2 linked regions of the Arabidopsis thaliana genome follow. The protein of the gene in region 1 interacts with the protein of each later gene in a pairwise test. Each region holds a gene or a part of one and is shown on either strand. Other genes may lie near its edges. The genes, in order: AVP1 and AT2G39805.

What was found.
Region 2: the proteins of AVP1 (region 1) and AT2G39805 interact in a protein complementation assay, tested with the Arabidopsis thaliana proteins (one large-scale study listed by BioGRID).

What each region holds. Positions count from the first base shown.
Region 1 is NC_003070.9:5,397,105-5,403,289, reverse strand, and holds AVP1 (Inorganic H pyrophosphatase family protein), read right to left. Parts: upstream 4,365-6,185; 5' UTR 4,176-4,364; coding exon 3,914-4,175; intron 3,716-3,913; coding exon 3,141-3,715; intron 3,054-3,140; coding exon 2,674-3,053; intron 2,574-2,673; coding exon 2,487-2,573; intron 2,406-2,486; coding exon 2,075-2,405; intron 1,945-2,074; coding exon 1,534-1,944; intron 1,453-1,533; coding exon 1,393-1,452; intron 1,312-1,392; coding exon 1,105-1,311; 3' UTR 771-1,104; downstream 1-770. Other genes in the region: ATPC2 (ATPase, F1 complex, gamma subunit protein), read left to right, coding at 1-661. UniProt on the Arabidopsis thaliana protein: Contributes to the transtonoplast (from cytosol to vacuole lumen) H(+)-electrochemical potential difference. It establishes a proton gradient of similar and often greater magnitude than the H(+)-ATPase on the same membrane.
Region 2 is NC_003071.7:16,609,377-16,614,606, forward strand, and holds AT2G39805 (Integral membrane Yip1 family protein), read right to left. Parts: upstream 3,179-5,230; 5' UTR 2,978-3,178; coding exon 2,924-2,977; intron 2,451-2,923; coding exon 2,393-2,450; intron 2,294-2,392; coding exon 2,213-2,293; intron 2,026-2,212; coding exon 1,857-2,025; intron 1,527-1,856; coding exon 1,253-1,526; intron 1,035-1,252; coding exon 840-1,034; 3' UTR 523-839; downstream 1-522. Other genes in the region: HOS1 (ubiquitin-protein ligase), read left to right, coding at 3,565-3,654, 3,791-4,181, 4,467-4,601, 4,692-4,867.

The sequences.
Region 1 (6,185 bases):
GAAGCAGAGAGGAATAGACTGTGTTGTGATAAGTGTAGGTAAGAAAGGGAATGCTTATTTTAGTCGGAGAGATGAATTTGATGTTGATAAATGTATTGAAGGAGGAGGTGTTTTCCCAACGACTAAAGAAGCTCAAGTTATTGCAGATGATGTGTTTTCCTTGTTTGTCAGTGAAGAGGTTGATAAAGTTGAGCTTGTTTACACAAAGTTTGTGTCTTTGGTGAAATCTGATCCTGTGATCCACACTCTGTTGCCTTTGTCGATGAAAGGAGAGTCTTGTGATGTGAAAGGTGAGTGTGTTGATGCTATCGAGGATGAGATGTTTAGGCTAACGAGCAAAGATGGGAAGTTAGCTGTGGAAAGGACCAAGCTTGAAGTTGAGAAGCCTGAGATCTCACCGTTGATGCAGTTTGAGCAAGACCCTGTTCAGATTCTTGATGCAATGATGCCTTTGTATCTCAACAGTCAGATTCTAAGAGCACTGCAGGAATCTTTAGCGAGTGAGCTTGCGTCGAGGATGAATGCGATGAGTAATGCGACTGATAATGCGGTTGAATTGAAGAAGAATCTGACGATGGCTTATAACCGAGCGAGACAGGCTAAGATCACTGGGGAGTTGCTGGAGATTGTGGCTGGAGCAGAAGCTCTTCGAGAGTCTTAGGTAGAAACTACAGCTGTGTAAAATCATTTGTTGTTTGTGGTAATAAATGTCATGAAAGAATTTACAGATCATGAGAAATTGAGAATCGTTTACACCTAACGCCGACAAAAGACTAACAGTAACAATAAATTCCAATTATGTCTCGAAGAAGACAACCAATTTAGGAAATATAAGCAGCAGAAAGTAACGGCTAAAACAAGTCTCGACCGAATACTTGGTGGATTTCTAAATTCTAAACAGAACAAAAAGAAAACAGAAAGACAGAGAGTGAGAGAAAGAAACATCATTTGGTTGGTTCTTTAAATGAGCCTCATCAACAAAAAAGGTTTTTTAACCACCTACGGTAAACGAAAATAAGAATGGTAAAAAAGAAAGTTTAGAATCGATCGCCATCATCATCTTCTTCTTCTTCATCATCGTCATCTTCTTCCCTCGGATTGAGTTTAGAAGTACTTGAAAAGGATACCACCGTGAGTGGCGAAGAAGGGAGCAAAGACAAGAGACTCAACAGCCATGAGCTTGATGAGGATGTTCAATGAAGGTCCTGAAGTATCCTTCAATGGGTCTCCAATTGTGTCTCCAATCACAGCTGCCTTGTGTGGCTCTGAACCCTTTGGTCCAAGGCTCTTTGCGTGCTCTGATACACCAGCCTGCGAATATATAACAATGCTTAAGGATTTGACTTCATATTTTCAAATGGTTTGATTTAAGCTACAAGAAAATTCCATTACCTCGATGTATTTCTTGGCGTTGTCCCAGGCACCACCAGTGTTAGATGCTGATATGGCGATCTGAATAGAATAAACAGAGAGCATCGATGAGCATTTTTTTTAAGAATAGTTATTCACAATTGAATTGAGAATATACTTTACCTGAACACCGGATACAAGAGATCCGGCGAGGACACCAGAGAGGGTCTCAACTCCAAAGAAGAAACCAACAATGAGAGGTGTGAGCATGACAAGGCAACCAGGAGGTATCATTTCCTTGATGGAAGCATCGGTGGAGATCTTGACACATGTGGCGTAGTCTGGTTTTGCGGTTCCTTCCATAAGTCCAGGGATGGTGTTGAACTGCCTGCGAACTTCTTCAACCATCTTAAGAGCTGCACTTCCCACACTCTTCATTGTCATGGCAGAGAACCAGTAAGGAAGCATGGCACCAACAAGGAGCCCAATGATAACTTTAGGGGTCAAAACATCTACGGTGTGGATCCCTGCACGGCTCACAAAGGCACCAAAGAGAGCCAAGGAGACTAGGGCAGCAGAGCCAATGGCAAATCCCTGTACACAACAAACCAGAATAACATGTCAAAATACAACACAAGCAAAGGCAACCTGAGGAATGGTTCAAGCAAGCAAGCTCTTTTATTAATTCATCGGATTGCAGAAAGAGGTTAAGAAGGCTCCATACCTTTCCAATAGCAGCAGTGGTGTTTCCAGCGGCATCAAGAGCATCAGTTCTTTCACGGATGCGGTGGCTCATTCCAGCCATTTCAGCAATACCACCAGCATTGTCACTGATGGGACCATAAGCATCAATTGCCAAACCAGTGGCAATGGTACTGAGCATACCAAGAGCAGCAACAGCAACACCATACATAGCAGCAAAGCTGAAGCTAACGAATATACTGATAGCAATAGCAAAGATTGGAATAATGACGGATTTGTAACCAAGAGCAAGGCCGAAGATAACATTGGTAGCTGCACCAGTTCTGCATGAATCTGCAACATCTTGCACAGGGCTGCAAGAATAGGAGGACATAAGAGTTAGCTCTACTAGCTGGGAAAAGTTAGTGACTAAATACAGCTAAAATGAGTCTTACCTGTAGGCGTTACTAGTGTAGTACTCAGTGACGAAACCAATAATGAGTCCAGCCCAAAGACCAACACAAACACAAAGGAATAGCTGCCTGAAATCCAAAATAATGCAAGACTTAAAAAAGTGCAACGAGAAATTTGAATAGAGAAATGCAGGAAAAAAACAAAAGCAATCATCCACAAGGAAATTACCAGTTCTTGACAACTTTTTGTGTTCCAAAGTTGAAGATGGTAAAGGAGGTCGGTAAGCCAACCCATGACACAATAGCAATACCAACAGTCATAATAACAGTTGAGATAATGAGCTGGTTCTTCAATGCTGGTTCAATCTCCTTGACAAGCTTAATCTCAAAGAAGTCAGTGGCAAAGAGAGTTGTGATCAAACAAACCAAGATTCCCATTGAACTGATGAGCAATGGGTAGCACATGGCAGTGAAGTCGTGGTTGATTCCGAAAGATGAGATCGAGGCAACAACAAGAGCAGCGCATGATGCTTCAGCATATGATCCAAAGAGATCAGATCCCATACCAGCAATGTCACCAACATTGTCACCGACATTATCAGCAATGACCTGTAACATAACCAACCAAAATAAGTCTTAACTTCTATTGAAAAAAAGAAAGCAAAGTGTTATCACACAGTGAAATGGTGTACTTACAGCTGGGTTTCTTGGATCATCCTCTGGAATATTCCTCTCAATTTTACCGACAAGGTCAGCGCCGACATCAGCAGCCTTAGTGTAGATCCCACCACCAACACGGCCAAAGAGAGCCATGGAAGACCCACCAAGACCATAACCAGTAATAGCCTCAAAAAGACCTTCCCAGTCATCTCCGTAATAGATCTTGAACACATTGATAGTAATGTAAAGCACCAATAGACCACTCGCTGCAAGAAGGAAACCCATCACAGCACCAGACCTGAATGCAACAATGAACGCCTTTCCAACACCTTTCCTCGCCTCCAAAGTGGTCCTAGCATTAGCGTATGTAGCAATCTTCATCCCAAGGAAACCAGATAGAACAGAGGTAACAGCACCAAGCACGAAAGCAATGGTACTGAAAGCTGCAGTAGCCAATGCAGGCTTGCAGGTTCTGGTGGTGTCGTAAGTACAAGGCTTGTTATCAGTGCTGAATCCCTCAACAGAGCCGAGGAAAACAAAGATAACAGCAGCAAAGAAAATCATGAAGACACCAACATATTTGTACTCCGTGAATAGGAATGAAGTTGCACCTGTCCCCACAACAACCAAACAGATCCCAATATTATTCACTCAGAAAACACACATCATCTCAGATTTCACAAGATACTGAATTAGTAATTTCAACGTTCTAACAATCCAAAACATCATCAAACAACCACCAATCAAAAAACAGAGCCAGATCTAAAAACAGAACAGTGAGATCTGAATAAAGTATCAATAGATCTTACCTTCGGAAATAGCAGTCTGAATCTCAGCGCACTTAGCGACAACACTCTGGTCATTAACACCTTCCTCTTCCTCGATTAGATAATCACCGTATCCATTCTTCCCATTGTTAGCTCCACCGGAAGACGATGCGCCGAGGTCAGAGGTGAGTTTCACGCGAGATACAACGTACCATTGGAAAAGCGAAAAGGCGATACCAATCACCGCACAAATCGGTACAAGGATCTCCGTCCAGAGCTCCGGTAACAAAGCAGGCGCCACCATCTTCTCTCCTCCGTATAAGAGAAAAACAAATAAAAACAAATAAACAAAAGAAAGAGAACCGCTTCGCGCGAGAGAGAGAACACAGAACACACACAGAGAGAGAGGTGAAGAAGAAAATGAGGCGTAAATAGGTGAGGATATCGTGTCGTTATATAAGACTAGCTCTCTCCTTCTTCTCTTTGGATGCTCCCATCCAGAAAGATAGATGGAATCCGGTACGGTTGGGTACACGGTTTTTACGCTACACCATCAGAACTCATTTACGCGCGTGTTGACTACGCTCTATTTGTCCGAATTTAGATTCATCCTCATCTATCCGGTAGTTGTCGGACACGACAGCAAAGTAAAGCTTGAGTTCATCTTGGTCGTTGAGTTTAGGGCGAAAGACACCTACTACGTGTTGATCGATGCGTTTTTAGCCGTCGGATCTGGAAGTACATGATTAGTACTTTTCGGGTTTTGTAGTCAATCCCCCTTCGTGGTAGAAAATTAATTTAGTTAGGTGAAGATTATGATTTATCTGATCCATATGGTATATTCTGAGTATTTACCAAATCGGGTGTATTTTGGTCTAAAATATATCATTTAATTCTCTCTTCCTATTTTACAAAGATGGATTCAGTGTACATATTATCAAATATGGATAAATAGTAAAGAGCTTTGAACAATAAAAAAAGAAGATATAGTTAAGAGCCTAAATCATTTTGTATTAATTTCATGATTAGGATAAATGGAAATACGTAGTTAAAATATCAGGGTTTTTAATTGTTTAAATGAAAGCCATAGTGAAAAATCTAACCCTTTAATTAAAACAGGCCATCTGTATAAAATTGTTAATTTACCAATCCACGATATATAAATGCTTGCCATAAACTTTATTGGGGTAAAGTAAATGCTTGCTATAATTGTAAAAGCTATGATTAACAATAACAAAATTCTCATTTATGTAGGATTAAATTTGAGGATTTGACTCTCTTTTTTTGGCAAAGAGATAAAACTACATCCGTGTGCTGATTAATATCTACGTGTCAGATAAAGCAAAAAAGAAAAATGCAAAGCAAAAAAAAAAAAAAAAAACTTTTCAGTTTACGATGAAATTTAAAGTGGAATAAAAACTCGTATTCGTCTCTAATGTGAATCGATTCTATAGTACTTTCACAAATTCGATTCGACGTTGTACTAAATTATTTTTGGCATTTGTTCGATTAGGTTAGATTCCAATACTTTTTCATTTTAATCTCATCTTCATACGATACGAGACAGTCGTGTAAGAAGATACAGTGCACCAAACCGTACATAGATATTGCCAGTGAATACAAAATTGAAGAAGTTTGTGAGAGAGGAGGATATATCGGAGGGCCTTTTCGAACGGCTGACGTAATTAAGTGTATTGAATGGTGTGCAACCCTCCAATCGGATAAATACCTTTTTATATATAAAATAAAATATCTTAACCAAAAAATTATTTTGTGGAATTTTCTTAGCATTTAATTGTGTTTTTTTTGGGTACTCAGTGAGTACTAGTGACCACTCATGCTTTATCTTTGTTCCCTTTTGCAGGTTGCTAATGAATCTCGAAAAAATTATTATCATGTAAAGGAAATCTTTCCTAGTTTTGTGGCTGACATACTTTTATCTTTCAATCACGATTTAGTTTCCATTTCTTTCTAAATTATATAATATCATTCATGGCCTAAAGGTTTATCCAAGTGGTGACTGGTGTGGTAAACGTAGAATTCAAACCAATCCACCTAATTAAAGTTAAAACAATAATTGAATTAGAAAGAGGCGAATGATTTTACACGGTAAGATTTGTGACTTTCCATGATATATGATTAGATTATCGTCGTCGTCGTAATTATAATGTTTTCTATTTAGCCTCACCAAAATTTGGTGACATCTCAATGTTTATAGTTGTATATTGACAATGCTATAAGGCGTTGATGAGTATCAATCGAATTAGTTAAACGTTTATGAATTACTCAATTAGAACGAAAAAGACACTGTAGT
Region 2 (5,230 bases), on another chromosome or scaffold:
ACTTGCAACAAAAATTTCTTTCTTGATAAGATTTCGTTAGAGCATATTGTATGTGTGCTTAGAACACAACAATATTTGAGTTTAGATAGAAAAAAAAAAAACCAAAATGTGATTTTTATCTATTCCAATAGGCCAGTGAAGTAGGCCCATAACTACTGCGCAGCCCATTATTCTACCTAACATGTTTCATTAACTAAAAGTCTGAGGATTCTTGTTGTAAGTGCTGGTGATGTTTCTTAAGAACAAATCAATTATAACTTATTAGCGAGTAAGATTGACCTGTAAATCGAGTCTGTTCATAAATGATAAATCTCGCAGATACTTTATCCATTTTTTTATTCAAAGGAGAAATAAAGATAATTCACAGGTTATCTAATGTGACATTTTGGCTTTTTTCTTTCATACTTCACATGCTCTGTACTCAAAAAAGGTTTATACTTTTATAGTCCATTCTGTGATATCTTCTGCCACATTCAAAAGACTACAAAATGTACCAAAAGATACAGAATCATAACTCAACACTCTCCTCCACTCTTCACAAAAGAGAGTAAATTGCAATAAATCTTGAAAACTTCCTTTTTTTCTTTTATATATTTTTACTCCATAAGCAAAATAAGTGGTAGCAAACAAAACCAAAAAATGAAAAAACACAATCGTTACAAGCAACGATGAAAATCCGCCAGTAAAAACGAAACCGAATGATTTAGCGGATATGTTCCTTCTTCTACTTTGTGGGTTTCATTTTCTGGTAACGACATTCTTAGTTCTACCGCAGCACATCAAAATCTAAAGGTTTTTACATATATATGTTTTGTCTGGTGTTGACCGTCTCATGGAGATTAAGGAAAGAACCAGACCTTGATGAAGATTGAAAGAACCATTTGCAGACCAAATGCTGCAGCCATTACAACCGTGATATCATTGTTCGTCTCGAGGTAAGACCGTAGATTCAGGGCAACAAAACACGATGATGCACTACCAGCTAAGAGTATAATCACCCATCTCAGAAACTCTACTGGAATAAGCAATGGAAGCTGCAAAATAGAACATCCTGAGTGTTATTATGCTTAAACAGTATGAAGTATAAAGTTGTGATATCAAGTTAGGTTGATTTATGTCATTGTACATGGTCATTGAAAGTGAAGTTACCAAACCATTGTGTATCAAGTATATGCATTTGTCTTTAGTGTTACTGATCATCAATTGATTAATTTTAACAGCAAAAGAGACCGAAGTTACTGAAGATACTTACAGAGGTTGGAACGAAAATGAAGAGAGAGTATCCCCAAAGGCACCAGAATCTTAGAAGATCAGCTTTGGACCCCATATAACGGAGTGCAAAATAAAATCCCAGAGGCACAATTATTGCATATCCATATATTATAGATGCTGCCAAATTCATATAGTTCACATCAAAGATCCAAGGAGCATTACTGTCGGTTCGTTTCTTCACGAGATATGTAGCACAATTTCCGAGAGAAGCAAGCACAAACACAAGCGTAGTGCAGATCCAGACAAGTCCATACCTAACAGAAGCACACACGAGTCATTAATCAAGAATAATTTGTGAAAGGCCTAGCTTTTAGCCAATCTTTAGAGGATAACATATTATGATGCTTTCTGTTCATTTGTCCAAGAGAAAATGAGGATATTTTAATCAATCGCCTGAAGTAACATAGGAGTAAATGAATAGCAAGATCATGCTTTCGGAAAGGTGCAGAAGATAACACTTAGAACGGTAACAAATTAACGGCATGACTGAGCAATGGACCGATTAAAGAAATTCGAAAGAACTCTCTCATGGTAAGTACAATCACCAAGAAGAGTGAAGGAGAAAAAGGCATTAAAAGACTTACAAATCAGGGTTTGCATCAATCTTGTTGAAAAAATCTCCACTAGTAGGATATAAAGAGCTCATTAATCTGTTCAAAACAACGTCCGTGTCCACGTCGAAGTATTGGGTATATGAGTAGACATTAAAAAAGCCCTTCCAGTTGTTTGATGGCTGTTGTGCTGGTCCTTCTACTGGAGCAGATAAGATATATCACCATATAAGACAGAACAAGGTGAAAACAAAGGTATATAGGATCTTGACATCCATAAGAAAAACGAGGTTGACTCACACAAGTATTCTTTCAACCATTGTACTGATTCATGGTGACTACAGATAAAAATATCTCCTAAAAAAGGAATCTAAAAGGAGCATATATACCTGTTGGGCTCTCAAGAGTTTGATAACCCTTTGTATTGTTTCCTAGATTCGGTGGAAATATTTGCATGCTTGCAGAAGGGCCTGCAATAATGCAGAAGACATACAACACTCAATGTCTTTCACTACCGGAAAAGTTCTTTGCAAAAGATAATTCAAGCAGAAACTAGCAAAAGAACACACCTTCATTGACGCTTGCTATTGGTACATTTGTGCTTCTCTTGTCGTCGCTGATCACAGCCTAAGAATACAGATGTTTGTATCAGACATAATAACACGGGGATAGTCAATCCATTCACTCAAAACATTTATCTTAGCGGATTCAATCCAAAATGAAGCTATCATGCAAGCATTTAAACTCAAATACAGTTTTGTTTTTCATACGAATTGTCTCCTAAAATGGTGAAAAAACTTAAATAAAACGCCTTAACAAATATAGAAACCCAGAAATGCAAATAAGGAAATCGTCCATTGTTCTATGAGTGTGAAGACTTTAGGCATCATCGTGGACGCGAAAAAATATGACAAAAAAATCTGAAAAGTTTCAAAATTCTACTTCCTAATGTAACACTTGAGACAGAACAACAAACAAAATGATGGCATGAACAAAAAACGTTAATTTTCCCTTCACACAAACAAGGATCATAGAAAAACTCAATCAAAGAGCTTATTGATGGTGAAATGAAAGAAGCAATAGATGTAATATAGACTTACCGGAACTGAACCAAGCAAATGGCTTGATTGTAGATTAGCGAACGACTCATCCATCGATCAAAGAGAAAAAGATATCAAAGAAAAACTTAGAAGATAGGTTCTTCTAATCTCATTCAAAAATCGATAAGATCGGAAAAAAGGTCGTCCCTTTTTCTGAATTTTTAAGGTTTCTGGGTTTGCTTCTCCTCCTCCGTCGTCGTGGAAGCAATTGGGAAAGGAAGAGAAACTAAAGAAAGAACGATCCACGCGCTTTCTTAGCAAGTCGGTAAAACACGCGCTGTTCACTTTCGGACACGTGATTTGCCGACTTGGGCCCAGACAATCACAAGATTCACACAAGACTTCAAAAACAAAGGCCCATATTTAAATTTTGACCCGAATCGTGATTTGCCGACTTGGGCCCAGACAATCACAAGATTCACACAAGACTTCAAAAAGAAAGGCCCATATTTAAAATTTGACCCGAATTAAACAATCCGACTTGACCCGTTTGAGGAGAAATTCACTCAACAGTGTTTCCTCTCTTCGTCTTCCCTCCCGAGAAAGCTCAACGGAGCCCTAGACTGGTTTTATCACTCTCGCCAACACCAACCACGCTTTTTCTCTCTTTACCTCCATTTTTGTATTCGTCACCGGAGTAGATGGATACGAGAGAAATCAACGGTTTTGCCTCCGCCGCGAGATCGATATCTCTTCCTACGCAGCCTAATTACAGTAGCAAGCCTGTTCAGGTTCTTCCGCTTTATACCTTTTTATTTCTCCACTGAATTAGTTTAGCTCAGGTCTTAGGATTTCTAGGTTCAGCTTAAAAAAATGGGTTTTGCAGAGCTTAGAGTTAATTTCGAATTTATTGTTTGTAACTTACAGGAGGCGTTGAAACATTTGGCATCTATAAACCTCAGAGAATTATGTAATGAGGCAAAAGTTGAGCGATGTCGTGCAACAAGAGACTTAGCTAGCTGTGGAAGATTTGTGAACTATGTGTTGAATCCATGTGGTCATGCCTCCTTGTGCACAGAGTGTTGTCAGAGGTGTGATGTTTGTCCTATCTGTAGAAGTACGCTACCAAAATTTGGAGATAGACTTAGGCTTCGTCTCTATTATGAGTGTGTTGAAGCTGGTTTGATTTCCCGAACACATGAAGAGGCGTCACAGGATTCGGATGAGGATGAACATCAATTGGCAGCTGATGTTCATCGCCTTTATTCTCTGTTTGATGTTGCTATGAACAATAATTTGATCTCGGTGGTTTGCCATTGTATCCTTCAGTTGCATTTATGCTTGGTGTCTGATATATGCATTTAGTCTTTTAGTTTCCTGTTTGATACTTTCATGAATTTCTTTTAGATTCGTATGCTTGTGCTATTAGGAACTGTGTTTATATGGGGAGTTTTGTACTGATAGGTTCATGTATTTTTAGGTAGTTCTTGTTTCATGCTTGTCTCTGTTGGGCGAAATGTGCATAGTGTTTTTGTCATTCATTCTCTAAGAGGTATTTTATGTTGGATGCATAGTTGACATCTCCTTGACAGAAAATTAATAGATATCACCAATGTCTGTATGGATGAGACAGCTGTATCTAGTGATCCGGTCATTGCTTTCTTGCTGGATGAAGTTGTTGTCAAGGATTGGGTCAAGCGTACATTCCGGAGCACCTTAGCTGAACTTCAAGAAATCTGTATCCTTTTAGCTGTTAATATTTTTATGTTTCTTAAGACTGTATATTTGTGCACCGTAAGGTCTGTCTATCTTTAATATTGGCCCTCAGATAATCTTGAAACAAAAGAGATGCAAGCGTGGTTAGATAAACTCCTAAGGTGTTCCAAACAGGTGGCTGGCATATGTAGTGTGCTCGAAGTTATGGAATCAGCTTTTAAGGGTTCTGTGTCACCTCAGCTTCAAGATGTGCAGACGCTGAGAGAGAACATTGGTAAAACAAAGCAGGTCAGCCATGATTTCATTTCATTGATATCCAAACAGTTTTGCAAAAGTATGCTTAAATAACTCTCTTTATCCCCCTTAGAAATATCCGTTGTACATTGAAGTTTCCTACGTGCATTAATGTTTAGTTTGCCTCTGTCATAGAATGAGTTACTTGTTTTGTATACGGCTTGCAGTAAAGTTTGTACTGTAAAAGCTTTGCATTTAGATGTATGAAAGGCACGATAATGGTCTTCCATCATCAGCTTGGATCTGATTTTCTATCCCTAGCTTTGTGACTTTATTCTTCTTTTCTTTTTTAATGTCATTGCATATTAGTGAATGTAGATGGGGTATATGTAACCTATCTTTATATGACATACTGAA